Linked DNA regions of Yarrowia lipolytica. The protein of the gene in region 4 purifies or fractionates together with the protein of the main gene of each other region. This does not show direct contact. Links are inferred from orthologs where the notes say so. Each region holds a gene or a part of one and is shown on either strand. Other genes may lie near its edges. The genes, in order: YALI1_F36132g, YALI1_D11442g, YALI1_A19483g and YALI1_D14300g.

Evidence for each region.
Region 1: the proteins of YALI1_D14300g (region 4) and YALI1_F36132g purify together in Saccharomyces cerevisiae (affinity purification with mass spectrometry; 5 studies listed by BioGRID, with this or other methods). This does not show direct contact. The link is inferred for Yarrowia lipolytica from reciprocal best matches to the Saccharomyces cerevisiae genes RPT1 and RPN3.
Region 2: the proteins of YALI1_D14300g (region 4) and YALI1_D11442g purify together in Saccharomyces cerevisiae (affinity purification with mass spectrometry; 8 studies listed by BioGRID, with this or other methods). This does not show direct contact. The link is inferred for Yarrowia lipolytica from reciprocal best matches to the Saccharomyces cerevisiae genes RPT1 and RPN6.
Region 3: the proteins of YALI1_D14300g (region 4) and YALI1_A19483g purify together in Saccharomyces cerevisiae (affinity purification with mass spectrometry; 8 studies listed by BioGRID, with this or other methods). This does not show direct contact. The link is inferred for Yarrowia lipolytica from reciprocal best matches to the Saccharomyces cerevisiae genes RPT1 and RPN12.

The regions. Positions count from the first base shown.
Region 1 is NC_090775.1:3,607,566-3,615,203, reverse strand, and holds YALI1_F36132g (uncharacterized protein), read right to left. Parts: upstream 1,954-7,638; coding exon 532-1,953; downstream 1-531. Other genes in the region: YALI1_F36127g (uncharacterized protein), read left to right, coding at 2,498-4,225; YALI1_F36094g (uncharacterized protein), read right to left, coding at 4,281-5,798. UniProt on the Saccharomyces cerevisiae protein: Acts as a regulatory subunit of the 26S proteasome which is involved in the ATP-dependent degradation of ubiquitinated proteins.
Region 2 is NC_090773.1:1,140,183-1,147,408, reverse strand, and holds YALI1_D11442g (uncharacterized protein), read right to left. Parts: upstream 3,141-7,226; coding exon 1,818-3,140; downstream 1-1,817. Other genes in the region: YALI1_D11479g (uncharacterized protein), read left to right, coding at 1-1,660; YALI1_D11437g (uncharacterized protein), read left to right, coding at 3,690-5,276; YALI1_D11406g (uncharacterized protein), read right to left, coding at 5,582-6,805; YALI1_D11402g (uncharacterized protein), read left to right, coding at 7,181-7,226. UniProt on the Saccharomyces cerevisiae protein: Component of the lid subcomplex of the 26S proteasome, a multiprotein complex involved in the ATP-dependent degradation of ubiquitinated proteins. In the complex, RPN6 is required for proteasome assembly.
Region 3 is NC_090770.1:1,944,601-1,951,480, reverse strand, and holds YALI1_A19483g (uncharacterized protein), read right to left. Parts: upstream 3,238-6,880; coding exon 2,452-3,237; downstream 1-2,451. Other genes in the region: YALI1_A19515g (uncharacterized protein), read left to right, coding at 1-1,502; YALI1_A19459g (uncharacterized protein), read left to right, coding at 5,646-6,880. UniProt on the Saccharomyces cerevisiae protein: Acts as a regulatory subunit of the 26S proteasome which is involved in the ATP-dependent degradation of ubiquitinated proteins. Necessary for activation of the CDC28 kinase.
Region 4 is NC_090773.1:1,425,861-1,433,284, reverse strand, and holds YALI1_D14300g (uncharacterized protein), read left to right. Parts: upstream 1-3,245; coding exon 3,246-4,556; downstream 4,557-7,424. Other genes in the region: YALI1_D14329g (uncharacterized protein), read left to right, coding at 324-1,811; YALI1_D14304g (uncharacterized protein), read right to left, coding at 1,953-2,843; YALI1_D14276g (uncharacterized protein), read right to left, coding at 5,021-5,629; YALI1_D14260g (uncharacterized protein), read left to right, coding at 7,212-7,424. UniProt on the Saccharomyces cerevisiae protein: The 26S proteasome is involved in the ATP-dependent degradation of ubiquitinated proteins. The regulatory (or ATPase) complex confers ATP dependency and substrate specificity to the 26S complex.

The DNA.
Region 1 (7,638 bases), on a different chromosome or scaffold from region 4:
GGTGTCGTTAATGTGCCCTTGATGATTGCCCTGTGTCGGTGATTGTCGTGAGTCAAGGTTCGGTGATATTTACATCTTCAGATGGTGGTTTGCAGCTGCAGCAATAATTTTGAGTTTTTTAGGAATTGGCCCAACGTACTGCAAGTAGTTCCCGTACCTAATTACTATTGTACTGTACCGGTATTTGAAGAGGAAAGCTACCATCATCTGGTTTTCCGTCATACGAATAAGAATTACTTATTATCCCGTGTAAATGAACCCAAAAACATCTATTTGTCGATCTCATAACCTCGTACTTGTACACAGTAGTAACCTATGTTATTGTCATCTCTACTGCACATACTATACTCGCCTAAAAGGAGAAGGAGACATGGTTACTTGCAATAAAATAGGATAATAGGGCATCACAGAAACGGAGTCTGGGACAAAGTAAACGCCCACGTTGTAGTCTACAGCTGCCATTAACCCAATTACAATTTCGTAACACATTACCTACAATGGTGGACATTCTAAAATCATATGCTAGCCTATCTAAAGATCAAAATCCTCGTCGTCATCGTCGTCCAACTCGCCCTCCTCAATCTCCTTGACCAGCTCCCGCTCTCGCTCACGAGCCTCGTCAGCATTCTTCAGATCAATTCGGTTGGAGTTCATGGGGTACCGCATGGCCTTCACACTGTCGTTGTGGAGACCGATGCAGAAGGCAATTCGGTCGTGGAAGGTCTGCTGAGGCTCGTTAGTAGAGTACACGTCCAGCACCTCCTTAGATTGCATGAATCCTCGCTCCGAGTCGATGGTGGCTTCAATGACACCATCTCGAATGGCCTTGGCCACAATGTACTCTGCAGACTCCTCCGACTCGAGTCTCAGACGGATACAAATATCCTTAAGAGAGATTCGTGAATATGCCAGAGACATGATTCTGATACCGGTCTTGATGACATTCTGTCGCAGACGCAGAACCAGGGAGTAGGTACCATCGGCCTTGAACACGGATGCATACTTTTTGATTGTGTCAGCAAACTGGTTGAGATCACCGACTCGCACAGCCTTGACCACCTCGAAGTAAGCCTTGAGGCTCTGCTCCCGTCCGCTCTTGAACACGCTTCGTTCGGGAATGTCGCCCATCAGCAGTTCGATCACAATGTTGAGTTTTTGTGCGGCTTGCAGGAAGCCGGCAGCCAGAGGGGTCTGAGGCGCCTTTCGGATGGCTCCAGTGATGTGGGCGTGGGCAGCTGTGTAGTCAAGCTCGATTGCTCTGATTTTGGACAGATAGTACATGTAACGAGCGGCCAGAGCGTTGGCGGCGTTTTCGGGGAAGTTGACCTTGGACACGAGGTTAGAGGCCTGGGTCACATGTGCACAGAGCAGGTAGTTTCGCAGCAGCAGGGTGATCAGCGAGGCCTCAGTCTCGGGGTCATGTCGGAGAGAGGCAGTTCGCAGAGATGCCAGCAGGATGGGTCGGACAGCCTCGAGGTTGCCACTGAGCTCCTCACCTCGACACAGGTAGAACCAGATCTTGGAGGCAAGGTAGTCGAGCGATCGTCGGTTATAGGTTCTCAATCTAGCCACCACGTGCTCGCTGAGTTTCCGCAAGTCGTCAATTCGGTTCTCGTGGAGCAGCCAGGCCTGGAACAGCAGTGAAACGTACATGTCGATCTCTGGTAGAGGCTGGGTGGTGGCCTCAGTGGCGCCAGAGGCTCCATCAACCTCCATTTCGTCGGTGTTGGGGTTGACTCCAGCCAGAGCAACAAACCCGCTTCTTCGCTCATCGCCAGCAGGGTAGGTCATGACGGCGATTTGTGCCAGCAATTCTGGAGTGAGCTTTTTTCGTAGAGCAGGCAGACCTCGTAGGACTCGCAGGACGAATCGCTGGTCGAAGGAGGCGACGGCCTTCTCCAGAAAGGCGAAGGATTGCTTGATTTCAGCCAAAACAGGGTGGTCTGTGGTCATGGTTGTCTGTGCTGAAATGAGTATGATTGTGTGGTGATGAATCCTATGTGATTGAGTGTGGTGATGTGTGGCGACAACCTTAATTGGTGGTGCTTTTGTAAGTGGTCACGTATAGGTGATTCCGAACGAGCAGCGTGTTATTGGGAGAAGACGTACTGTAGATGGGGTTCGGTTCAACATTTGAGGTAATTGAGCGACGGATTGATGTCGTTAGATGGAGATTATACAGAAAGGTGTAGCTCATAACCTGTACTTATGGCGTACAATAGCATAATGTGTGCATGCGATAGGAGTATACATGTATGAACCTCAAGTTGGTTGATGAAGCTAAATGATTTCATAAGAAGTACTGGTCGTGATGTGGGATTATAGATACAGATATTCGCCACTGTCGCACACCCTCTCTCCGCACCTCCACTCCAAGTAACAACCCACCTTAACAACCTTGATCTCCAGCTGCATATGGACCATGAACTTAATTGAATGAACTCCAATTTATAATATACAAGTGGTCACCTCACTACAAGTACCAACAAGAACTACTATGCCAGTGTCGATAGAAGAGCTCAAGGCTTTGCAGGTTCAAAAGAAAGAGGCTTCTAAGCCAAAGTTCATCTCCAAGGCTAAGCGGGCCGAGATGGCTGCGAAGGCCAAACAGATCCAGAAAAACACGACATCTGAAGAGACTACGTTGAAGGATATTCGATCTACCACCGACCTGAAAAGGTCAGTTGTTCAGGAGACTGTGGAGACCACCAAGCCTCTCCCTTCGAAACCCAAGCCAAAATCAACCTCTGGAAAGTTTTCATTCGACTGGAGTGCTGCAGATGACACCTCCAAGGCATATCAGCCCAGCTACAGTATCGATTCCGGAGATGGGCAGGTGCCCAAACGCCAAAAGCGTGACCTGGAGGACGCACACTGGTCTGATAAACCTGTGGAAAGCATGACGTCGCGTGACTGGCGTATCTTCAAGGAAGATTACAGCATTGTCACCAAGGGCGGAGGAAATATTCCCAATCCTCTTAGGTCGTGGAATGAGTGCAAGGAAATACCAGGAATTGTACGTGATACAATCTCTCGAATGGGATACAAGGAGCCCACGCCTATCCAGAGAGCTGCTATTCCTATTGCTCTAGGCATTCGGGATGTGATTGGCGTTGCTGAGACAGGTAGTGGTAAAACTGCCTCTTTTCTGATCCCTCTGATCAGCTACATTTGTGAATTACCCAAGCTAGATGAGAGATCGAAGGTTAATGGTCCCTACGGTCTTATTTTGGCCCCCACTCGAGAACTGGCTATGCAGATCAAAGACGAAGCAGTCAAGTTCTGCGCACCACTCGGCTTCAAGGTGGTTTCTGTCGTTGGTGGATACTCTGCTCAAGAGCAGGCTCTGGCTGTACAAGAAGGAGCAGAACTAATTGTTGCTACCCCTGGCCGTTTGCTTGATGTCATTGACAGGCGACTGTTGGTTCTAAACCAGTGTTGCTATGTGGTCATGGATGAGGCCGACCGTATGGTGGACATGGGCTTCGAGGAGCAAGTCCAGAAGGTTCTGGCGTCTCTACCCTCGTCAAATGCTAAGCCCGACTCTGATGAGGCCGAAAACCTTGCGGCTGTATCCACCAGGCGATACAGACAGACCATGATGTACACTGCCACCATGCCCGTGGCTATTGAGAAGCTGGCTAAGAAGTATCTTCGACGTCCCGGTATTGTCACTATTGGTTCTGCTGGCCAGGCGGGTTCTACAGTCACACAGCTGGTTGAATTTCTTAACACTGACGAGAAACGAAAGCGTCGTCTTCTTGATATCATTAGTAAGCGACAATACCGACCCCCAATTGTCGTTTTCCTCAACTACAAGAGAGACTGTGAGGCCGTTTCAGATGCTTTGGTTGCAGCAGGATGGAGAACAGCTATTATTCACGGTGGAAAACAACAGGAGCAGAGAGAACAGGCTGTTCAGCATCTTAAGCGAGGTGCTGTGGATGTGCTTGTTGCCACTGATGTTGCTGGTCGAGGTCTTGATATTCCTAATGTTTCGCTGGTCGTCAACTTCCAGATGGCGAACAACATTGAGTCCTACACACACAGAATCGGACGTACTGGACGAGCCGGTAAGCGAGGTACTGCCGTTACCTTCCTTGGTCAGGAGGATGATGACGTCCTATTTGAGCTGAAGCAGATGATCAGTCGATCTGAGGCAAGTCCTAACAACCAGGAGTTGAGCAGACATCCTGCTGCTCGAATGAAGAAGCTGCAACAGTAGCTGTACATAGTATGTATATAAAAATATGCAGTATTTATTAAGATAATCATATAAATTAATAGTAGTAGAAGAAGCTGGGATTTAGCTCTCCTGCGATTCTCCTATCATCTTCGGAGAGAGCGTTGAACTTTTCAATGTATTCTGGTGTTCGCTTTCGTTTGTTTTCCCAGGTGATTCCAGCGGCATAGACAAACTGCATAACAAGCGAGAGACAAGCGAAGGCAAGACAAACGGCGCAACCAGGCGTATAAAATGGAGCGTCGTTTGCTTGGAAAACAAAGGTCGAAATGAACCCAGCGCAGTTTCCGAACCCAATCTGCCATCCTGACGCGATAGCTCGCCTATGATGGCCTAAGAAGTTCATTTGGGTCCAACACACAAACAGAGGCATAGCAGTGTAGGTTCCGGCACAGATCATGAACAGAGAGCCATATCGAGTTCCAATTTTGTCGTGTACGCCAATAACAACTGCCAGACCAGCTATAGCAACGATACCGGCGAACACTGCAAAATAGAATCTATGTCTGAGGTAGTCTGAGAAGATGGCTGCCAACATTGAGAAACCAAAGGCCGCCACCCAGGGAGGGACCGAGTACAGCTGGGTCTTGACATCAGAATATCCTAACGTCTTAACAATAGCTGTCCCGAAGTAAGCGTATCCGTATGCAGGTACAATGGTGCCGAAGTACATCCACCCCATGACCCACACCTTCCAGTCAGAAAAGACACTCTTAACGTCTTTCCAAGTCATGGGTCTCTCGGCTTCACTGGCACCTGCATTTCCTACTTCAAGCTTCTCTTTCATGAACTGCCGCTCATTCTCAGTTAAGAATTTAGCGTCCTCTGGGAAGTCGGCCATTAAGAAGAACATGATGATAGAGATGAAAGCAGTACAGGCACCTTCAATGATGAAGATCCACCGCCACGAAGCGAGGCCTTTGTCTCCATCGAGATTATGAATACCTGCGGCAATGAGACCTCCAAAGGCTCCGGCCAGGGTTGTGCTTGAAAAGAAGAAAGAGTATCGCTTTTGGGCCTCTTCTCGTCGGTACCACATGGAGATCAGGTAGAAAGACCCGGGAAACATTCCTGTTTCAAAGAGTCCTAGTAAAAACCGTGTGGCCAGGAGTGCAGAGTAGTTGTTGGCGAAGCCCTGACCCAGAAGAGTTACTCCAAACAGTAGCATGCTGCCTGTCAACCACACGTGCGGCGTGAACTTCTTCATGAGCCAGTTCGAAGGAATTTCAGCGACAACATAAGGAACAAAGAAGATTGCAAGAGCGGTATTGAAACGGTCACCGTAGAGATTGAGATCTTTACTCATTCCGTAAACATTGGCGTTGGAAATGTTGACTCGATCCAGGAAGGCAAGAATGTAGAGGATACAGATGACAGGAATGACACAAATGTCGACCTTGAACATGAGTTTCCTTTGATTTATACCGTACTTTTCAGCAAGTTGCGCAATTTCAGCGTCGATAACTTCTTGCGGGACTTGACCCTGAGGGTACTCGACATGCTCAAGCCCCCCTGACTCGGTGTATTCGTCGTGACTTAGTGATTCTTTATCCATACTGGCTTATGGGTGCCAAAAACACTTCTAGGACATCCAATAGGTTATATAGGCCTCGGAACTGTGTCTCAGATCAATTCAATGATTCCCCGCATTTCAAGACAGAGTTCAAGAAGCTGGTGTAGTGCATTGCTTATGTGCCAAGAAGGAGGAGGAGATGATCTGGGCACCATAATGCTTGGCAACGTTGTACTTCGTTGGTAGACTTGAGTGGATGAGAAATACCCGTCGTATAACAACCCCAAACCGCCAGAACAGTTATTCAAACACATGATGACTCACGAGCAGAGTTTTTCTGAACCTAGCCAACCTTGACCGCATAGGGTTCAGCCTTTTCTGGTCAAAAAAGCATAGACAGATGACAAAAGACGATAGATGTCTTGATTTGATGAGACTGTGGGGGTATTTGTGTTAGATCAAATGTGTTATTGCAGAAAAAGGTGGATAATAATGTGACGTGACTTATGAAATACAATTAGCGACCATTCTTTCAATTGCCTGCTCCAGTTGGTGGACAATGTTCTACCAAACACGGCTGCAATAACGAATGGTAAAGCCCCACCCGGCTGGATAAAGTGTGTTCACCACAGCCGCCTTTTGGGTAAAGTGGTTGTTTATTCTGTGAGCAGATTTGGCCCCCTTCGAAGGTAGAGTGATTCTAGCTTTATAAGGCCATCCCCTGGGTATGATGTAGACAAGTTACTGTAAGGGCCCACGGAAGCCACCTACAGTACAACTACTTACTGTACCAAATACAATACTTTTAGGCAGAAAAGTCAGGTTCATTCGTGGTTAGGTGCATCAACAGAACTCCTGGTACAGTACAGAGTATTATCAAAATCTATAGTCAAATAAAAGTCTAGCGAACCCCCCCACGTCGGCACTGTCTGACTCGTACATACACGGAAGCAGCAAAAAGCAAGTTTTTCATACAAATACATACCCCACCTTTGGAAATAAACCTCAGAGTAGTTAGCCCGTCGTAAAGTCGCGTAATGTCTGTAACTCCGATGAGCATGTCCGGAAAATGTACATTCTATGAATGATGTGAGCGTGGCAATGGATACAAAAAGAGCCACTTTTAGTGCATTTATGAGGTTCCCAGGAACTAGACACCCTCGATACCCGACTATACTTGAGGCGCTAAACTGAATACTTTCTCGGTATCCGCAAAACATCACAAACCGTGCCCGTGTCTTAAATGAAACCAAATCGCAAGCAGGCTTTGTGGGGAAGTTGGGGTAACTTTAGTGGGCCATGGGGGGGGGGAAAGGGGGAGTAGCTCCTGTAGGTAACACTATGTGCTGTACAGTACATACTGTAGGGTGAAGTGTCGTACCGATGTTTCTCTCTTGTCGCTACAAGTAGCTACAAGTAGTACTTTCTCTAAGACCAAGGAAGGTATTACCCTTGTGAGAAAAAAACTAGAAAAACCAAGTCCCTGACTTGTTATAGCAATCCTAATTCTAAAAATTAAAGGAGAAGTTACTCATGGCAAATACTGAAAAACATAATGGTTCTTGTAAATGCTTGTGTAGTAAGGACACACAGTACGCGGGATCAAACAAGCTTGTCATGAAGTGTACAAGTGTCTCTACTTGTAGGGCGCGGTGCCAGTCTCAACCAGGTAACACATCTGTGTGAGAGGCCTTGCAACACACTGCTGTTCGGTGGTGTCGAAGGGAAATTGTTAGGCACATCTACGGTCGTACGATACGACACGTTACTGTTTACTTGTAGGAGGGAACTCGACTCTGTGTCTCTAATTTTAAGATGTAAGGATATATGCATGAGCAGCGGCTCTCACATCGGGAGAGCGTGACAGGGTGGGATGTGTTTG
Region 2 (7,226 bases), about 290 kb from region 4:
CAAGCTCTTCCGGGCCATTTTTGATCTCATCCGAAGACGACAGATCAAGGAGGCCAGTCAACTGGCTGAGAAGACCGGAAACTTGTCGCTCAAGATGGCCATTGGCGGACTTGCAGCCATGGAGGACACTGATGTCGATCCTCTGGACGACGCCAAGGCTGTGGGAACCACACGAACCGCATTATGGCGACGAATGTGTCTCAGTGTAGCTGCGTCGCCTATCGGAGACTACGAGAAGGCCGTGTACGGCTTCCTGGGAGGAGATGTAGGCACGGTTCTGGAGGTCAGCGACAGCTGGGAGACACAACTGCTGGCGTACACTAACAACATGTGCAGCGATCAATTTGAGCAGGCCTTGAATGATGCTCACCGAGTGTCTTCTAAGACTAAGGCTCTGATCCCACTCGTGTGTCCTGGTCACGTGTCTTCCATGCAGGACGCTCTGGAACTGCTGGCCGAGTCTTCTAACATTGACGTCAAGAGACAGGCCATGAACCCCATCCGAACCTTTGTGGGAGCGGTCATCAACAACACAATTGAGACCATTGCGTCCACCTCCTCTGACGCATTAAGAGTTGCTGCTAGCACGGGCCAGCCCAATGCTGTTTCCGAGTCTTCCATCATTCTACGTGTTCTTGTGCATCTTCTACTTGCTCTTCGCCATGGATATGGAGGCCAGAAAGAACTGGATATCAGCCATTACAACATCATCTCTGCCTACGTTGAACGGCTGGCTGGAGAGGGACACATGGAATTGGTTCCTCTCTATGTTTCTTTCCTAGACTCGGAAGATGTCACTGACCAATACTCTTACTACCTGGCCAACATCTCCGACCCCTCTGAACGAGAGCAGCAGATACACCTGGCTAACCAATACGGAGTTGACATCAAGGCATGTGTCAAGGCTGCTGTTGCGCGTGTCTTTGATGAAAGCATGTCCCAGTACGTCATTCCTGACATCATTGCTGTGAAGTTCGACAACCAGGTCGAAGACACCGATGTGCGCCTCTACCGGGCTGTGGAGTGGTTTGAAGACGTCAAAATGTGGTCTGAGACCATCGATGCCTCTGTCAAGCTTCTCAGACGGTTCTTGCTTTGTGGAAAGGTCGGAGCTGCCCGAGAAGCTGGTATGCGTCTCAATGTGCCCATGCTGATGCAGCAATACCAGGCAGACACTCTGGGAGCCGATGGTAACGAGCTCGACGAGCTTGTCGCTCGGGAACTCGAGCAGCTCTACGATCTCATTCTCTTCCTGGACGCCGTGCACAGCTGGGAAGAGCTCATGAACTCCCCCAGAACCCATGAGAATAACACCCAGATTGCCCATAAGGTAACCGAGATTGCACGGCAGTCCGACAAGCTGATCCACGATTGGCTCATTGAACTCCTGCAACAATACACAGAGAACCAAGAGATCAGGCCACAGGACTACACCCACCTGTCTCATCTCAGACAGATCTACATCCCCTATGTCATTCTTCAGCTACTGTCTGTCTATGTCAGATCGCGGCACATTGACCCTCGATTTGTTACCGACGCCATCGAACTGTCTGTTCTTGTTGCCGACGACCAGCAACAAATCTACCGGGACTTTGTCGACTCCGGACGGCTGGAAGAGTTCCTCCAGTGCATTTTCCAGGCTTCTGCTCTGATGAATTAGTCTGGTGACTGAAATAGATGTTTGCATAATTAATCATAACTACAATATTAGACCTCACTATTAGTATTAAAATACTCCAGTCTGTACTTCCAGTCTTATTCCTACTAGTAATAACACCCTCTCATCTTCATCATTTCATTAAGCTACTTTACATTGCTTAGTTGAGAGAAGAGGCCTTCTCGTACAGCAAATCGACCACGGTGGACATGTGTTTGACGGTCTCCAGAGCCGAATCGTAAGTCTTATCTGTCTGAGGCTCATCATAGATGAATAGCCAGCCGTTGCCCTGGTCCAACACTCCCTTGATGCCCTTATCCAAAATCATCTGAGACAGCTTGCCCTCCACCTGTCGGGTGTCGAGGCCAATGATCTCAGCAATGTGGTTGATTTCGACACAGCTGAAGGGCTCAATCACCTTGAGCAGATTCTGCTCCAGCAGCGAGTCGTACAGGTCGTTGAAGTGCACTCTGATGACGGGGTCGGCCTGGACCTCCTCCTTGTATAGTTCCAGCACGTGCTCAAACTCCTTGAGCGATCGGTTGGCATAGGCCACTGCCACCGCCTTCATAACGTCCACGTCTCGACCCTGGTACGCCTGTGCGGATTTATTGTTGAGAATGGTCTCCACGTCATCGGCCAGGTTCAACATGATCTTGCACAGTAGCATGTACTTGAGTACAGTGCCAGCCTTGGGGTTTTCCTGGCCCACGTAGCCCTCGAATGCCTCGTAGAAATAACTGAATGCTGTCTTATAGTCCTTGTCGTCTGCCTGCAGGATACCAGACATGGTGTCTAGAGCAGCCTGGGTGAGAGGAGGGCAGTAGACGGCGTTGGCGGAGGTTCGTGCAGAGGTGAGAGAGGCTCGGCTCTTGGGGATGTTTCTGAGAGCGTGGTACGCCTTGGCCTCCAGCAATTGCACCTCCACAAGCACCATCTTGTCATCGAGCTTCTTGAGCTCCTTGAGCAGGGTATTGATGAGGTTGAGCGCATCGTAGTACGTCTTCTTCTCCAGGAACAGCGACACCAGCCGGGTCTGCAGGCTTTGTCGCAGAAAGTTTCGTTTCTCCGAAACGGCCCATTCGATACATTTTTGTGTGGTGGCAATCTGCAGGTCGATACAGTCAGACGGCACTTTGGCGAAAAGATCAATGAGGTTTCTGATGATTTTGGCGGTTTTGGACTTGGCAAAGCCGCTCATTACCGTCAGACTAGTATGGATGAGGTCTGCGAGGTCCTGGGGCTTGTTGTTGGAGGCGTAGAGAGTGCCGAGATTGATGAGAGCCGACTCTTGGATCTGGATCGATTTCTCGTTGGTTCCAGCCTTCTGATCGAGAATCTCCCGGTACAATTTCTCGGCCTCCACGAGGTTGCCCTTGTCTCCGGCGGTCTTGGCGCTTGCCAGCGTTTCTTCTAGAGTCATTGTGTCGTTTGAGAGTGTGAGATGTGTCTGGACCAGATGTCGTATGTGGTGGCGGTACATTGACAGCTAAGGTTTGGGAGGTTGTCGCTTAATAAGCAAGACCCTTTGAATGTGGTGAGTGGCGGGGGAACAAGATTATATATAGGGGTCCTGGGGTCCGGTTTTTATGGGGTCTGGTTTACTACTTCTCCTGATGAGAACAAAACTTGTTTTTGTCTTCGCCGGCATTCTAGATACAGCATATGGCTTGGGTCTTGTTTTGACCATAACAGAAGAGGTTATGGATACACACACAGCGATGGTTCAGACACTCCAGGAGGGGTGATTGAGCGGATCGGAAGAGTGATTGAGTCTGCCAATCGCCCTCCTATCTCGCAAGGATTAATTCCGTATCTTTTTCGGTCACGATATGTGCCACAATCAACCTCGTTGCTACTCGTTGCTACTTCCCACTCACCCACCTACAGCACGACCTGGCAGTCAAGACCCTACTTCCCAACTCAAACTGTGTCCCAACCCTGTGAGTGCCTGTGACAAGCACATTGTTCACAACAACATTTATTTGCAAACAAACACAGGCAGAAAAAAAACACGAAACCGCACCACAGCATGTTTGGACAAGCCGCCAAGCGTCAGTTTAATGGGTTCGACTCGCAGTCGTCGTCCACCGGCGGATTCGGCACCTCGTCGACGTCTGGAGGCTTCGGAGCGTCCACTGGAGGCCCCTTTGGCACCTCTTCTACGACCCAGACCCAGGCCCAGCCCTCGTTTGGCCAACAGTCGACCTTTGGCACGTCCACCATTAACGGTAACACGTCGTTTGGTTCCCTGGGCAATGCGTCGCTCAACCAGTCCCAGTCCTCCTTCTTCAACAGCGACGTTCTGTCCACTCCAACTTCCGCCAACAACAACGGAGGGGCCCCCTCGTACAGCCTGTCGCACTCGCAATCGGCCTACGATCTACGAGGAGCATCCAACGGCAACAGCTATGGTGCCGGTAACCAGCAAATGAGAGAACACAGTGCCCCGCTGACTCCAGGCTTCCGATCGTCTCGAGGTGCTCCTTCCTGGACCTCCAACGACCGACGATTCGTGCCCTCCCATCTCTCGGCCATCAAGCAGAAGTCATCCTTTTACGCCGGCGATCGTACCCCCGAACGATCTGCCAGCTTCACTAGAAGAGCGTCTACTTCCCCTACAATGAAGTCGTCGCTTGCCAAGGCAGGAGAATCCCCTCCTTCGGGCGTCGGAGGCTCGTCCTTCGGCACCCCCAAGCCCTCCGGAACCAAGAAACAGACTCATACCATCACCGAGGAGGAGCTACCACCCACACAGTCCATCTACGACTCGCGAGGATCGCCCTTTAGTGCTGCTCGACGAGGTAACTCGGCTGGATCGGGGATGCGTCGTTCGGAGACTTTCAGCAGTAACCCAACAGCCGCTCGAAAGACTCTGCGAGCCACTGCCTCCTTTAACCATGCTAACACCCCCCGGAAACTGGCGATGGGCAGCGATGGCAACCTGTCCGTCGTTGTCTACGGGTTCCCCCAGCATCTCACGCCGTCCATCGTGTCGCACTTTAACAACTTTGGCGAGATCATGGAGAACGTAGAGCCCAGCGACGCCTCGTTCGGTCTGTCTACCACCCCAGTCAAGCGGCCTCCTCCCGGAAACAGACCTCCTGTTTTTGCTGGCCGAAATTGGATCAAAATCACCTATGACAACAAGGCGTCTGTGATCCGAGCGCTGGCCGAAGACGGCACCCAGTTTGCCGGCCAGTACGTAATTGGCTGCAAGCCGTACACGCCATCGCAGATGCGCGACTTTGACGCCATTTCGGCCTCTATGTTGGACTCGCACGACGCCAGCATGATGGACTCAGACTACCAAGACTCGCCCATCAAGTCCAAGTTCCCCCAGACTCAGCAGCAGAACACTAGCCTCTACCCCAACCCTTCAGCATCTGCATCTGTTTCTTCTTCGGAGCGAAGTCTGCCTCGGACCACATCGCTGCCTGCTCTCAACGGCGCCAAGCGGCTGGAGATTCGAGACGGAACCAACACCGTGTTCAAGCAGCCCTCCTCCAAGACCATCACCAACCCCAAAGTCAAGAAAACGGGTCTCGCTGAGAAGACGGGCTGGTTGTCCTGGACCGCCAAGCGGGCCGAAGAGCTCATTTTCGGATACGAGGTTTAAGAGGTTGTGCGAGGACTAGTACATGCGACTGCGAGAGCTCTATACTTGTAGTACTTTAGGATAGAGAGAGATACCGAGTAGGAATGATTATATTTAGGTATATAATTAGGTAGCATCTATAATTAATAGAACATGTAAGATATCATTTCAGCGTATGGCGAGATCCTGGCCGCCCACGAGTCTTTGACTGTGCAGTACGAACACTTCAACTGCACGTCAGCGCTCACTATAGGGCGGCGATATTCATTATGAAGGAATGCATTAATTAAATATATACTGGTAGTTGGGCCGTATTTATACGTCCACTACTGCTTTCTCCTCCAAGGACGGCCAACAGGAGATCCAGACAATGTGGTATGGTTGGGCACACTGGGTCCGGTGTTGCCGAAGCTGGACGGGGTGTATCCTGAAGAGCCTCGTCGGTCATCCATCAGTCTGTGGGAGAAATGGCGAAGTCCGTCACCCGCTTGGGCACCTGCTCCGGGGAGCTGTCCGGAAGTAGGCACGAACGTCCGTCGACGAGTCGGGGTGTCCAGTTTGACAGGGGTAGGAGGCTTGCTGGGTGCCATGCCGGCCTCTCTGTAAACAGACTTGTTATCCAGCGCAGCGTCGTAGAACTCACAAGATCCGTCAGCTCCAACAGCAGCGTCTTGCTTGATCACTCCAAGTAGAGGATGCACGACTTTCTTGTCAAACTCGCCGAGCACCTCGCCCGAGATGATGTTCTTGTCCTTGACGTAGACCAGGAACATGTGGCTCATGGCATACAGAGCGAAAGAAAAGGCGGGCAGAGTAATGAAGACCTGGACGAAGCTTAGCGGACCGAACCACAGAGCAATGACATGTATAGGCGAGAAGAGCGCAAATATGTTGAGATGGAACAGAGACGGCTCCCACACGTTGAGCACCCACACTCGAGTGGGTCTATCAGTCGTGGTAGGGTCGACTACTGGAGGAGCAGGAGCCGGGCTCATAAATCCGGAGAGTCGTTTTTTTATCATGGTTTTGAATTGGGCTTCCCCAGACTGGTTCAGGTCGTCGCAAGGTGTTTCCAGAGGCTCTAGAGCGGCCGAGGGGGTTCCGGGGACGTTGGAGACATCTCTCCCAAACAGCGTGTACTTTTTTGTCTGGAGGAAGCAGACTAGCATATTGATGACAGAGATTGCAAACAGAGCCAGAGCCGTCATCATCAGAATCGAGTAGATTGCATTGCTGGATCGTCTCTTGGCTGCTGCTTGTGCACTCAGAGAGTAGTATCCCGAACCGCCCCGAGCCTTGTTGTTTCCAATGCTGTGGAACAATGCCGCGTCTCTCTTCTTTTTGGTTTCGAATCTGACAAAATAGAGCCGGATGAGAATCATGGTAATGTCTGCCGCCAGACCCAGGTAGATGTGGTAGGTCTGAGGTAGGTTGTCGAGTTCCAGCACCGCTAGCGATTCATTGATGCTGAGGAAGAGATCAAAGGGAAAGCTTTTGACCTTGGTGAGAAAGGGCGTTTTTTTGATTCGTCTGGGGCGTCTAGAGGACATGTGTGTGGAATCCGTGTGTGTATGACCGTCTCAATTCTCTTGCAAATGTCGTCTACTTGTAGCAAGGAACGGTTGGCTAACATGCACATCCACACGCCAAATAAATATATTTAAGCTTCCGATAGACTTTGTTGTGGGCACCAAACAAACAATGGGAAGTCTGAACATGGACAGTAATATACTGTAAAGATCTGAGTGGAGTCAGACAACAGCAAACGGTTCGAATGGGTGTGTTTTCGGTCCAATATTTTGGTTATTAATGTTTACATTTTGTGTGGCACAGATTATGACCTCCCCCACATCCGCCCCGGCGGCCACGTGACTTGGCACCATGTTTTCGAGCCTGCATTATCAATCCACTTAACCTCCACAGATATGGGACTCGTTATCGACGGAAAGGGCTGGAAAATCGCCAATGACG
Region 3 (6,880 bases), on a different chromosome or scaffold from region 4:
AAACGATCGGCAAAAGTGGCGTTCTTTCCGTCGGATCTGCCGAGCAGATCTCGGAACTGTCAGTCACTCTCAGAGACACAAAGTACCAGTCGGACATTGGCAAGGTGCTTCCTGAGATCTGCGAGGTGTTTGATCTACCCGCATCCACCGACAACCTCATTGTTGTGTCCTACTTACGCATCATCGGCAACTGCGTGAGTGAAAATGAGGTCAATAGAGCCATTTTGCTGGACGTGTGGCTCAACCAGGACTCCTTCAGACACTACATGAGCTCATTGGTGAAGACTAAGAACTCGATGGCCCTTCCCTTCTACTCGGCAGTGCTCTTCAACTGGGCCAATGGCGAAGACCCCGACGTCAAGGAGGAACTGGTTCACAGTCAGGAGTTCACCCAGGGACTGGTGTTGCTGTTTGAAACCCTGACAGATACCGACTTTGTATCGATAGGCACTCTGCTGACCATGCTGCAAATGTGGGTGATTGGTCGACTAAAACTGGACCCCAGAATCCTCGCGGCGGTCTACCAATATCTGCTGAATTGTACCCAGAAAGACTCCAATGTTCCGGGAGCCACAGAGCTGCTTCTGGTCATGGTCAACGACGAGGAAACAGGAAAGATGGTGGAATTTGACAAACTGTACAAGCTGGTAGTGGATTTATCGCAGGACAATCCCGATGACGCTCTTTTGGCCCCTCTTGATCTCAGAAGAGCCCTCTACACCGCTCTGGTGTGTGCTTCGGAAGGTATCAACATGAACCAGCTCGAGTTTGTGTACCAATTGAAAGATCTCAAGTTCTGGGACCCTCAATTGGCCGGAATTGGGCCCTCCTGTTGGATTGCGGTGACTAGTACTCTGATTACTAATGAGTCAGATCTGGCCACTGTGCTGACAAAGTACCCGCATCTGATTGAAGAGTCGCTGTTTCTGCTCCAAACTGGCCAGTACACGGACCAGTTGCAGTCGGGAGGCCACTTCCTCAAACTGGCGTCCAACAAGAAGGATTATTGTGTGGAATTGGCAGCTAGTCCACTGCTCAAACAAGGACTTACTAATCTGCTGGCTTTCCCTTACATTCCCGAACTGAGACTTTTGGGAGCACAGATTCTGCTCAATGTCGTCAAACACGTCTCTGACAAGGACACTGACGCTCTATTGAAGACCCTGGGAGCCCAGTTTTACAAAAATGAAGCAGACGCTCATATCAAGTCTGTACTACAAACCGCCCTTTCATACTGCTCGGATATGGATCGAGACATGCTTGACCATGTAATCGACGGGCTGGCCGGGCCCATTACCCCCCGAACCATGCGAATCACCACCGTTGTCGGTGTTCATGCTGCCAAGTTAGATGAGGCCCAGCGAAAGAAGGTGCTCGCCTTTTTGGAAAAGTGCACCGAGCTGGACAAGTCCGACCAGCTCAACAAGGGCGTGGTGAACAACGCCGCGTATATTTGCAAGGTGGGTGATTTCGGCGATGACCTCCTTCGCAAACTCATTTGATGGGTTGTCTAGACTACTCTCCTGGGAAGACGAGACATAGTCTTGTGACAGGACCTTCGGTGGTCGGTGACTTGGGCGCAATGTTCCGTGGGTCTCTTGGGCCGTAGACGGTGGCTACTGCGAACTACTTCAGCGATCAAGTCGTGCGTCGAACGTAGTCAAGCCCGTCGCTAAGACTACGAGTACTCTCCTACATCTCATAACAGGTCATGACTGTGCAGTATCGTCAGCAATTCAATACACTAAGGAAATGGTTAATGCATTATGATCAAGATAGCAGCAGGCCTCTGAGCTGTAGCTGGTGAATTAGGTAAGAAGGGCGCCCTGGACATTTTCCTACTAGGCACTCTCAGTAGTGAAACACACATTGTACCCTCCCGAGATCAGAGAATACGCTGATACTGGGTTGTTTCTGCTTATACATTCATTTATTTCCGTGACGCCATTTTATTTAGACAACGGCTGTTGTTACAATACCCAAGTAAACTCAAGTAAAATGTGACTTGGGTCAACTAATCCTCCATCACCTCAAACGACCCTTATCACGATCCACAGACATTCCATGGATAAGTAGATACAAGTAGTATCAATCTGTTGCACTGGTCTTGCCCATTTTGTTTACATCAATTATTTGTAATAAAACACAGACAGTCGAGTGAGACGTGACCACAAGTACAACAGTCGACCTACAACATGCGTATGTACATCGTCCTACGACAATTCACCTTAGAAGGACACTAGATGAGAGACGGCGGTTTCCTCATTCAATACACGTACCGTACTATCACTACACACTTTCTGCTCATTATAATATGCATCATCTAGAACAATTCATACTTCATCATGGTCAGGCCAGATCACAGATGGTAGTGACACTGAGATCCTCGCCGAACCGGTACTGTACCGATAGATTGTTGTTTCCGTATCGTATCTCCGATTTGTCGCTCCCTTAGATAATCTGCTCCATCTCCTTGGCGTACTCCAACGAGTTTCCAATCAGTTTCTCGGTCACCTTTCTGCTATTCAGAGTGGCGTCCTCGCTGATAACACCCGGGAAGGTGATTCGCTCACCGTGGATCTCCCAGCCAGGCTGCTCCTGCACAAAGTCCACCACGCCCTGGTCCGAGTCGAAAAACAGCAAATGTCGAGCATTGTTGAGAGGCAGCGAGGTGTATGCCTTTTCGGCGCACAAAGCAATTTCACCCCGGATGGCAAATACTAGAGGGTCGGCGAAACAGAGAAACTCGGAGCTGGGAACAGCGTCCTTGTTGGTGATGGCCTTCCACACCCGGTCGTAGGCTCCCTCCATGATCCATCTCTCTAGCTTAATGGGGAACGATAGAAACTTGTCGTTTTCCACCGTGTCAAAGTCCAACGACTCCAGCTCGGTGTGGAACTGCGCAATTTCGTTCTGCGACAGCAGCAGCAGCAGATAGAGCGCCACAATCTTGGACTCGTGGGGCGACGCAGAAAGACCCTGGATGCCATAAAACTGCCGCGATTGCGCCACAAACCTGGTGAATTCGGCCTCTTTGCCCAGATTGACGGCAGACAGAGCGCCAATCTCGAGCGCCGTTCGAGCTGCCTCCAGGTCCGCCTTTGAATGACCAGACGAGTTGGGCGACGTCAGAAGCCCGCTTTTGGCCATGTCCACCTTAAGGGGCAAAAGCAGCTGCTCCACCTTTTCGTAGTCGCCGGCCTTGTATGCGCTTTCCAGAGATGCGATTGGAGACATTGTCGTTGTGATTGCGGTTGTGTGGTTGAGTGGTTGAGTGGTGCTGGATCGTGTCACTACAGTTAGGTTAAGTGGCGATGTGCATGCACATAGAGGTTAAGAGTATGCGAAAAGGCGGAGTGAAGGGGGTCATTATCGGCTCCACAAGAGGGGGAGATGGAGTTTTTAGGGCCCACAGATGAGTTGAGTGGTATTGATTGCCACCTGCTTAGTCATACATGGGCTGGGGGTGTCATGGATCTGGACTGTTGATGACATGCGATTAACTGGCGGTATGGGCATCTGGGAGACGTGCAAATGATACCATTGGATATGGAAATATATGGCTCTTGATATGGTATTCTGGAGTTGAAGGAGTACCTCTGCTAAAGAGAACGGGTGAGGTTGTGAGACGAATAAGTGAGCTGGAGGGTAACGAAAGAGTCAGAAGTGGATTAGATGAGATTCGGAGTTGGTTGAAAGAGTCAGTTGGCCAATATTACCCCAGGATGTTCTTCTACGGTACAGTACATACTCGTTCAGTATCCAACTGAAAGCTGACTGATGGTGACGAACAAACAGCACCTTATAAGAGGGATAAGGACACGCCGAGAGATGATAAACTGATTGAAATGGGCATGAAAAGAAGGACGGATTTGTCAGATTTCCAATATCTCCTCTGTGGCGTGAGATAGATTCGTTGCTATTTGATAGACGACTGATGTATGTATAGTAGCCAGAAATGCCCGTTTAAGGAATTTTTCCGTTCCAATAATGCACTTGTAGACTTGACACCCGCTCTGTTTGTTACCTCCATCTTTTTTTTTGACCCAGGTCACACTACAAGTACTGCACTGTAGTAAAAGTTTTACTAACTGATCGTTACTTTTTGCCATGAGACAAGGGATTGGAGAGGGCTTCTAATGAGGCCAGTTTTGCCAATATGACGATAATTTTTTGACTGATCGAGAGCTATTGATTTGCTGATTCCAACCATAGTCTTTTCTAGTTTGTTGAGCCACCATTCTGTCCGTTGCATACGCCTTTTTATGTTCCTCCAATATGACGTAATTGTCATCTCTAAAAAACATCTTATTCCAATATTGACCATATAGGCCTTCCAAACAACTGGTATAGAAAGGGGTCAAAATGGCCGCGTTGCTCGAAACCTGTGCAATTCAATTTTCAAAATATATATAAAATCGACTCTTATCAAATCGGGGGTTTTCCCGATTCCAATCTATTTTACTCGATTTTTCTAATTCTGCCCGATATCACATCGTATCCAAGTGTATTGTACTCGCTCGTACATACTCGTACTCGTACTCGTCAAGACATCTGAAACACGTCACCCAAAGACAACAAAAGACACCAGCCAGTGCCGAGACAAGAGGCAGATGGTGCTTCTCTCAGGTACATGTGGAAATTGTGCAATCGGAGTTCTACAGAGTACAAGTACCGCTGGTTGTGCCACTTGTAGTACAACTGTTCTCTCTTGCTCTCCTGTATAGCAGGGTATATATACTCTCCAAGTGCAATACCACCATGTTCCCGCATGAGAGTCGTCAAAAATATACAGATTACACCCATCGGAAGGAGTCACGTGACCTCCACACACTCATCCCCCCACCCCAACGGACTTGTCCCGCTCTTTCTGGCTTATCTCCTAATCTCAAGAAGCGCGCCGAGTTGCTCGTATGTGGGAGGGTTGCCATTGTGGATGCATGGGGTATGCGTGGCTGGGATGTGTTTTCTGTTAGGGTAAGTGGGTCGTGACAGGATGTACTTAGGGCTGAGGGTTACGCGGGGACTTGGGGAAGAAATGGCGGGGCGGAAATCTCCGGCAATGGGCTCCGATTGGCAATTGACCTGGAAAAGCCGTTTTTCCGCCGCTTTTGGGCCTCTACAACCGGTGTTATGAACATGAGCTCATCTTATCGTGTTGGAGGGTAGATTGCCGCACCTGCAGGAGAGTGTGTTTAGAATGGGCTGTGGGGGTCCCAGCGCGATTCTGAAAAGAGAAATCAGGAGAGAAAAATTGGGCGAGTATTTTGGCGGGGTTTCTCTGTCTCTAGCGCGTCTACAAGTCCCTCTTTGGACCCCCTTCAAGGCCCTCCACAGCACGCCATGCATGCGCAACTTTAAAATCAAAACAAGTTTGGCGATATCTAGTGAACTCGTACTCTGAGACGACTTGACCAGACGACATACTGATACAAGTTGAACGTGCGACCCTCAGTTGGAGACACAGACGACGTGACGCAGACACAAACCGACGTTACATAAACAGCGCGACAGCACAACACCCCCGAGTTTACACCAAACACTTTTAACCAGCCTAGTCGAGACGAAATCCACCAGAAAAAAAGTACTCGTCCGTGGTTATACGACACAAACACCGACCATCATCACATATCCAGTTGCACACAATGTCGAAACTCACCGTCAACACGGACCTCAGCGACTCGGAGGACGAGGTGCTGCAGAAAAACGAAGAGTCGCTGGACGACTACTGTCCCGGAGGCTACCATCCCGTGAAGATCGGCGAGAAGTTTGCCAACGGCCGCTACGTGATTGTGCGCAAGCTGGGCTGGGGACACTTCTCGACCGTGTGGCTCGCGCGGGATACGCAGAACAACGACCGCCACGTGGCCATGAAGGTGGTGCGGTCGGCTTCCCACTACACAGAGACGGCCATTGACGAAATCAAAATGCTGGAGCGGGTGAGCAGCAAGAACCCCGACCATCCAGGCAAGGCCCATGTCGTGGGCCTGTACGACAGCTTCAAGCACGTGGGCCCCAACGGCACACACTACTGCATGGTGTTTGAGGTGCTGGGCGAAAATCTGCTGGGTCTCATTCGACGACACCAGTTTGCCGGCATCCCCGTCAAGCTCGTCAAGCAGATCACAAAGCAGGTGTTGCTGGGCCTGGACTACCTGCACCGCGAATGCGGCATTGTGCACACCGACCTCAAACCTGAAAACGTGCTCATTGAGATTGGCGACGTGGAGAAGATGCTTAAGCTGGCCGAGGAGGAGGATCGCGCGGCGGTCGAGACGAAAAAGACCAAACCCGGGTCCAGAACCGGTCGTAGATCGCGACGACAATCTCTCATCACCGGCTCCCAGCCACTCCCTTCTCCTCTGCGCTCCAACGCGTCCTTCTTCAACGATCTCACCATGACCAAGATGGTGGAGGAGGTTCGACTCGACGACGACCACGAGAAAAAGACCAGCAACCAGCTGTCCAAGAGCCCCACATCGGTATCGCCCACCAAGCCGAGAACCGCGCTGGCCGAGGAGCTCATCAGCGTCAAAATCGTCGATCTCGGCAACGCGTGCTGGGTCGAGCATCACTTCACCAACGACATCCAGACGCGACAGTACCGGTCACCCGAGGTGCTGCTGGGCTCGTTCTGGGGCGCCAGCAGCGATATCTGGTCCATGTCGTGTTTGGTGTTTGAGCTATTGACCGGCGACTATTTGTTCGAGCCCCAGACCGGCTCCAAGTACTCCAAGGACGACGACCACATTGCGCAGATCATCGAGTTGCTCGGCAAGATCCCTACCAGCGTGCTGCAGACCGGCAAATGGACGTCAGAGTACTTCAACGACAAGGGCGAGCTCAAGAAGATCTCCAAGCTGAAGGACTGGCCACTGGA
Region 4 (7,424 bases):
TGTGTATGGAGGGAGCTTGGATAACTTGGAAGAAAGGTGCATGAGACAGGCATGAGGGATGCTGGGATCAGGTTATGAGGAGTGGTGAATGGAGAGATTTTTCTGTGTTCCAGAGCAACAGTATGACCAATCAACATCTTATGATATCACCACTGTGGCCGCCGTCTCATTTATCTCTTTCATTCCTGGGCTAGTCTCTGCCTACTGTCCAGCTCGTCATGGGTTACCCTGCATATGCAAGATAGCGAAATTTTGGCAGGTCTGGAATTTTTTTTGACTACAGTTTGACAGAGTGCAGGCTCGACTTGAAACAGTACACAAACATGGCGAAATTATCTCTGGCCGAGCAGATTTCTCAACTGGCTAACCCCAAGCCCAAGGATGTGGATATCGAGAACTTTGAGGACCGTGACGATGGTTCCGAGAGCGGTGGAGACGTGGATTACGACAGTGATCTAGCGACAGAGCACTATGTCAAGGTCGGCAAGAGCAAGCTGCGAGATGATGCTCCTGCTCTAAACCCCAAGTACAAGGCCGGCAAGGTGAGCAGGAAGGCTCTTTATGACGACGAGGACGAGGACGGCGATGGCGCTGACGGTTTCATTGATGAGGACGACGAGGACGATGAGGAGGACGATGAGGAGGGAGAAGGCAATGGTTTCATTGACGACGAAGTTGAGGTTGATGAAGAGGACCAGGACGAAGACGGAGATGAAGACATGGAGGATGAGCAGGATGAGGACGAGTCTGACGAAGAGCTGTCTGAGAACGAGAATGACAGCTCGGCTAGAGCCACCCTCAAGGAGCTGCTGAGGGAGGAAAAGAAGGCGTCCAAGCAGCAGGCCAAGGAGGCTATTGTTTCCGACGCACAAAAGGGATTCGCCATTCACAAACAGACCGATCTATACGAGACACTTCTGGACGCGCGAATCACATTCCAAAAGGCAGTCCAGTCTGCCAACGCTCTTCCTATCAGCGATACTAAGGCCGAGGAGCTCGGTGAAGACATCACCAACACTCTTCAAGACACAAAGGCAAAGTTGTCGGACTTCATCTCCCAAATAGCCAAGATGCGACACAACATGGCTGTGCAGGACAATGTGTTTGCTGCCGACTCCGTCAAGCTATCGACCAAGCGAACTTTTGATGCCACTCTGGATAACATGGACAAGCTGGATACAGAATTCAAGGCATACGAGACTTCTGTGCTGAGCAAGTGGTCTCAGAAGGTGCAGGCCTCATCTGCGGCCTCCGCTCTCAACTCCTCCAAGTTCAAGGCTCTGAACCAGTCTTCTGCCAACCAGGTCGCTGCTACTCTGGCGGACATGGACCGACTTGTCAAGCGAACTCGAATGAATCGATCCAACGTTGTCATTCTTGGCGAGGAACAGATGGGCGCCATTCAGGACGCCGAGGGCGAAAACTACTACATCTTTGATGACTCAGACTTTTACCGAAACTTACTCAAGGATCTGATTGACCGACGAATGGTGGATTCCGGCTCTCAAAGCAGTGGCGTCAAGACCTGGACTGCCACAAAGGCCAAGACCAAGAAGAACGTGGACACAAGAGCATCCAAGGGTAGAAAGCTGCGATACCATGTGCAGGACAAGGTGCAGAACTTTGCTGCTCCCCGGCCGGTTTTCACCTGGGAGGACGATCAGATCGACGAGCTGTTTGCCGGTCTTCTGGGGCAGCGAGTCAACTTCAACGAGGACGATGATGGAGAGGAGAAGGAGAAGGAAGAAAAGGAAGAAAAGGAGGAGCAGGAGTTGGTTATTCCCGACGACGGTCTCCGAATCTTTGGTTAGTATCAGTGGTTTTAGCATGGGGTTTTAAGTAGATGTACTTTAATAATAGAGGCAGGTGCCAAATGAAAATGAAGAGTATACAGGGCGTATTAAGTAGTGTAATAAGAATAAATAGTAGTAAAAGTACAGTATATACTGGCATTATTGTTTGGCCGGTTTCTTGATCCCTCTGAGTTTCAATTTCGGCCGTGGCTTAGACTGTAGCGTTCTGGAGAGCTCTCTAGTTTGTTGTGCAAGTGATCCTTTCTGCTTGGTAGAATCAAACAGTCCACCGTGGGATAGAGACTTCAACCTGAGTTCTTGCTCCGCCACTAAACCCCTTTCCAGGTGAGGAACCATCACTTGCGCTTCCTTAGCAAGAGGTAGATCCCGCAGAAGTCCCATTTTGTCCTTGAGAAGGTTGTCTCTTTGGTCTTGGGCTTCCAATGCGCGTTTTTGACCTCTGAACCTGTTCCTCATCTTATATGACAGGTCCTGGTGGTATCTGGCTTTGTCCAGATGTTCATCATACATTTTCTGTGTCTCTTTGGCCGCGTCATCAGCCGAAAGCACCGACGATTTGAAGGTCCATTCAGCGATTGTCTCTCTGCTGTCTTCGGACTTAATATGACGTTGTTTGAGCTCCTCCTCGGCCTTTGCAGCCCTTTGTTTGACGACTTCACGCTCGACCGCCTCAAAAGGGTTGCTTGGAGTTTCTTCCTCTCTCTTCACAACCGACTGTGTGAAGGTAGCTCCTTCTACGGTCACGTAGGTAGCGTTCTTCGGATCCGTCTCAATGACAATGGGATGTCCACACTCAGCATGTTTGATATCAAAGCGCCAGATGGGAGACGACAGATAGCTGCCGTGGCGTGTTTTGACCGCGTTGAACCGTACTCCTTGAGCTATGGTCTTGTCACATCCATGGCATTTGGCAGACAGAGGAAGCTCGAATCTGACAGTTGGTTTGCGCGGATTCGCTCCCGCAAGCTGGTTGGCGGACGACTTGCCGTCGTAATCTGGCGGGTAGTATTTATTGGTCGCTTGCGACATTCATGGGTGTTGTCTAAGTGTTGTGTATTGTTGGCTACAATTGATTTTATTTTCTCCATATGCAGGTTGATAGCGATGAGGTTATTGATAGGCATATTCTAAGTATTTTTGTTAGGAGTACAGTTGGTAGTTACTTGGACCAGGTGGAAGGCAGTAGAACTGCGTGGAACGAGAGCATGGCCACGTGGGGAACTTTTAAATAGCCATTTCCTCTGGGAATCGTCAGATTGTTATTTCTATCCAAGTGACCATTTATCATCCCTCCTTCCATTCTGTTGCCACCTGATTACTAAGTGCAACCGCGCATCTGCACATTGCCACCTTCCACCTAACCTCCATCAAAGCCAAAAGTCCCACACATCAAACACCACACGACACCACCACCACAAACCACCACATACAATGCCACCAAAATCTGATTGGGAAAAGTACAAGGCCCCCATCGACGAGGATGCCGCGCAGGAGAAGATCATTCCTCTGTCCGAGGGCGACATCCAGGTACTCAAGACGTACGGAACTGCTCCCTATGGTACTGCCCTCAAGAACATCGAGAAGGACATCAAGGACATGCAAGCACGAATCCAGGAGAAGGTCGGCATCAAGGAGTCCGACACAGGTCTGGCCCCGCACCACCTGTGGGACACACAAATGGACAAGCAGCGAATGAGCGAGGAGAATCCTCTCCAGGTGGCTCGATGCACCAAGATTATCGAGACTGCTGAAGACCCCGGAAAGAGCAAGTACGTCATCAACGTCAAGCAGATCGCCAAGTTTGTCGTGTCGCTGGGCGAGCGAGTGTCGCCCACAGATATCGAGGAGGGGATGCGAGTGGGAGTCGACCGGTCCAAGTACCAGATTCAGCTGCCTCTGCCACCCCGAATCGACCCTTCCGTCACCATGATGACGGTCGAGGAGAAGCCCGATGTCACCTACTCGGACGTGGGAGGCTCTAAGGAGCAGCTGGAGAAGCTGCGAGAGGTTGTCGAGCTGCCTCTGCTGTCTCCCGAACGATTCGTCAACCTCGGAATCGACCCTCCCAAGGGTATTCTTCTATACGGACCCCCCGGAACCGGTAAGACTCTGTGCGCACGAGCCGTGGCTAACCGAACAGACGCCACTTTTATCCGTGTCATTGGCTCCGAGCTAGTGCAGAAGTACGTTGGTGAGGGTGCCCGGATGGTCCGAGAGCTGTTCGAGATGGCTCGAACCAAGAAGGCTTGCATCATTTTCTTCGACGAGGTCGACGCCATTGGAGGAGCCCGATTCGATGACGGAGCCGGAGGAGACAATGAGGTGCAGAGAACCATGCTAGAGCTCATCACTCAGCTCGACGGTTTCGATCCTCGAGGAAATATCAAGGTCATGTTTGCCACCAATAGACCCAACACTCTAGATCCCGCACTCCTGCGTCCCGGACGAATTGACCGAAAGGTCGAGTTCTCACTGCCAGATCTCGAGGGCCGAGCTAACATTTTCCGAATCCACTCAAAGAGCATGTCTGTCGACAGAGATATCCGATGGGAGCTCATTTCGCGTCTGTGTCCCAACTCCACTGGTGCTGAGCTGCGATCCGTGTGCACTGAGGCCGGCATGTTTGCCATTCGAGCCCGCCGAAAGGTCGCCACTGAGAAGGACTTCCTGGCTGCCGTCGAGAAGGTCATTAAGGGTAACCTCAAGTTTAGCAGTACTTCTCAGTACATGCAGTACAACTAGTCTGTGAAGATAGAGGTAATAATAGATGATGTTATGATAATGGTACAAGCACTTGTACCAATGAGTAGAGAGACGCGCTTTGTGCTGTAACAGACAACGTAGACTTGTATGTAATGCTTATCCTCAATCGTTTTTGAGCGGTTGACCATCTCGTCACTCGAGGTAACTGGCCGCAAGTACATTGATAGAGGTCGATGATACGTAATTCCTGATGTTGTATAAAAATGCGATTTGTGACTTTGTCTATCTATATAAAACCCCACTGCTTCTTAGCAGTCCTATTTCATAATCAGTCCTTTTCTTTGCGTTTGCTTGTTTGTTTTTGTTTGCCTTGTGTCCATACTCCAAGGAGCACAAGAGTGTGCCCGGAATACAGAGTGCTGTCCGGAACACCTAATAATGCATATATATATCCTCCTCCAACCGTCAACCAAGATGTACCTGAAGGAACATGGTTCTGTTGATTACTCCCACCAAGACACCAGACCCATGCCTTCTCCCTGGCAACTGGCAATCAGAGAGTAAGGAGGAACACCTGGCTTCTCGGGGTCCTGCTCGTCGTTAGGAGCAGCACTTCCAGCGTAGCCCTGCTTGAGTGGAGGCAGGTCCTGGAACTTTTCTTGTTCGATTCGGAACCGGATCTTTTCGTTGGTATCCAAAAACAGCTCCTGCTCCTCGTCAGGACACCACATCCAGGCCTGTTCTCGGGCGACAAACTGCGAGTTTTCAAACAGCAGGTGTGCGGGGATAAAAATGTCGTCGAAGAACTCCATCTTCACCTTGATTCCTTCCGCGGTACAGCTGGAGATCCAGCCCTCTAGTACCTCTCCCACAAACGGCCGGAAAACCACCATTCTGAAGGTGATTTTCACAAATGCAGCACCGTCGCCGGACATGACCTGGCCTTCGCCGACAGTGATCAGGTCATAGACACAGATGCACAGACCCACTCCGTCGATGATTTTGTTAGCGTAGCAGTTGTTAATCTCGTCCACAATAGCGTCGTTGAGCGGCTTTTTGAAGCTGGTGGGATCGAGTCGAATGAGATCTGTGAAGCGCGTGAGAATGAACATTGCGATGGATGAGACCCAACTCAGAGACAATCTTGATGATAGTTGCACGGTGTAGCTGGATATTTTTTAAGGTCTGCATCGCACTGCATATCCCTAACCACATCTTCACTTTTTCTACACAACTCCCAATGTCGCTTAGTAAGAGTCGGTACCAGCAGTGCCCACGATAGTCACCCCTAATAAGGACAAACGTACAAATTCCCAAAGCGGAATAACCTCCTAGAAATACGGAGATAACCGCTCTTCTCCATTCGGACACCTTAGCACCTTAATTTCGAATATTCACACATACTGTACTGACAAAACACACAAGAAAAAAAAAAAAAAAAAAAAAAAAAAAAAAAACCCAGGCCACTCCCAAGGTAATTAAACCCAACGCAATTGGCCATGACACCCGTCGACGAGGCGGAGGATACGAGCAGCTCTAGTGCCATTTATACACTACCCTAACCCGGGCCGATATGTCGACCGACCAACAAAAAAACGTCAACCACAGCCCGACAGTAGGATCGCCCCCAAGTCGTTGAAGAGGCATGGTCACCCAGCAGTCGTATTTTAGGTGTTCTAAGCCTGTGATTGTAACGGGGATCGTACCGGTACTGTGAGACGGGCAGAAGAAGCAATTACGTAAGCTGGAGGAACGCCCGCAACCCTCACAACCGCCGCGTTGGCACTCGTATTGCACTTCCTTTCCTTAGGGGTTGCTGCTAAAAAGTGTCTCCGTCATTCCCCACAATAATTCTCCGGAAAACCTTACGGGGGTTAAGCCTAGCCCAATAGGACATGGTGCGAATGGGTGTGGTCATACCCCAGAGGTTTCGTGGGGCTACCGTCAAGATTGTGACACCTGGCGAGTTGGAAAAGTATCCCATAAAGTATGTGAATAAATTAATTCGGATTCTCCACGTCTTCGTCTTGCCGAACCCGCCAATTAAACACCGCGAATCTTGATCCGGTTCATCCCGGACGTGTCCAAACTTTGTTTGGTGAGTATTAGGTCGCATGTCATTGGCCAATGGCCCGCATTACCTAAGCTCGGTGGGCTTTCAACTGGCCGCACGCAGATTATTTCTCTCTCTCTTTTTGGTTAGACCATACAAGTCGATCTGAGTCGGTGAGTAGCAAATTGCGCGGCGGAGGACGGGGCGCTTCGAGGCACATTGACGGCAGCCATTCGTACCCACGATGTGGACGGTCTTGCCCGGTATCTCTCAGTGCAACAGGTTTTTCGTTCGGCAAAAGGAGAAGTGGGACACCCAGCAGCTTGTTTGGCTGTACGCGTGGCGAGCATGTTGGCAAGCGTGAAGGAGAGAGGTTATCACAAGTGCGTTGGCGTGACGATGACAACGGAGCCTATGCTTCGCAGCATCATTCTTATGGTCCACTCTTCTGTCGGTGCCATGGTTTGGTGGTTCTCTCGTGGTATGTTAGACAACACATTCAGTGTGACATGTGGATATGTGAGGTGTGAATGAGAGCAAGTGGTACAGACACGAGTTCAGTGAAACAAGAACCAATGCTTAAAGGTACACGCGAACCTGACCGGTGTTGCTTCTTTCACCCAGTTGCTGGGATACTCTGAATGTCAGACTGTCTTGAAAATTTCAGTCTGTCAACCGCCGATGCTCTCACAGTCTATCCCCACAACACACCCTCTGATACCACAACCACTATATACAGTCACTGCGGACCACTCTGCAGTAAATCATCCAGACAACTATTCTCTACCTACCGGAATACGCAAAACACCTCTCCACCCCACAACGCCTGCAGAAAACCCCACAACACAACTAAC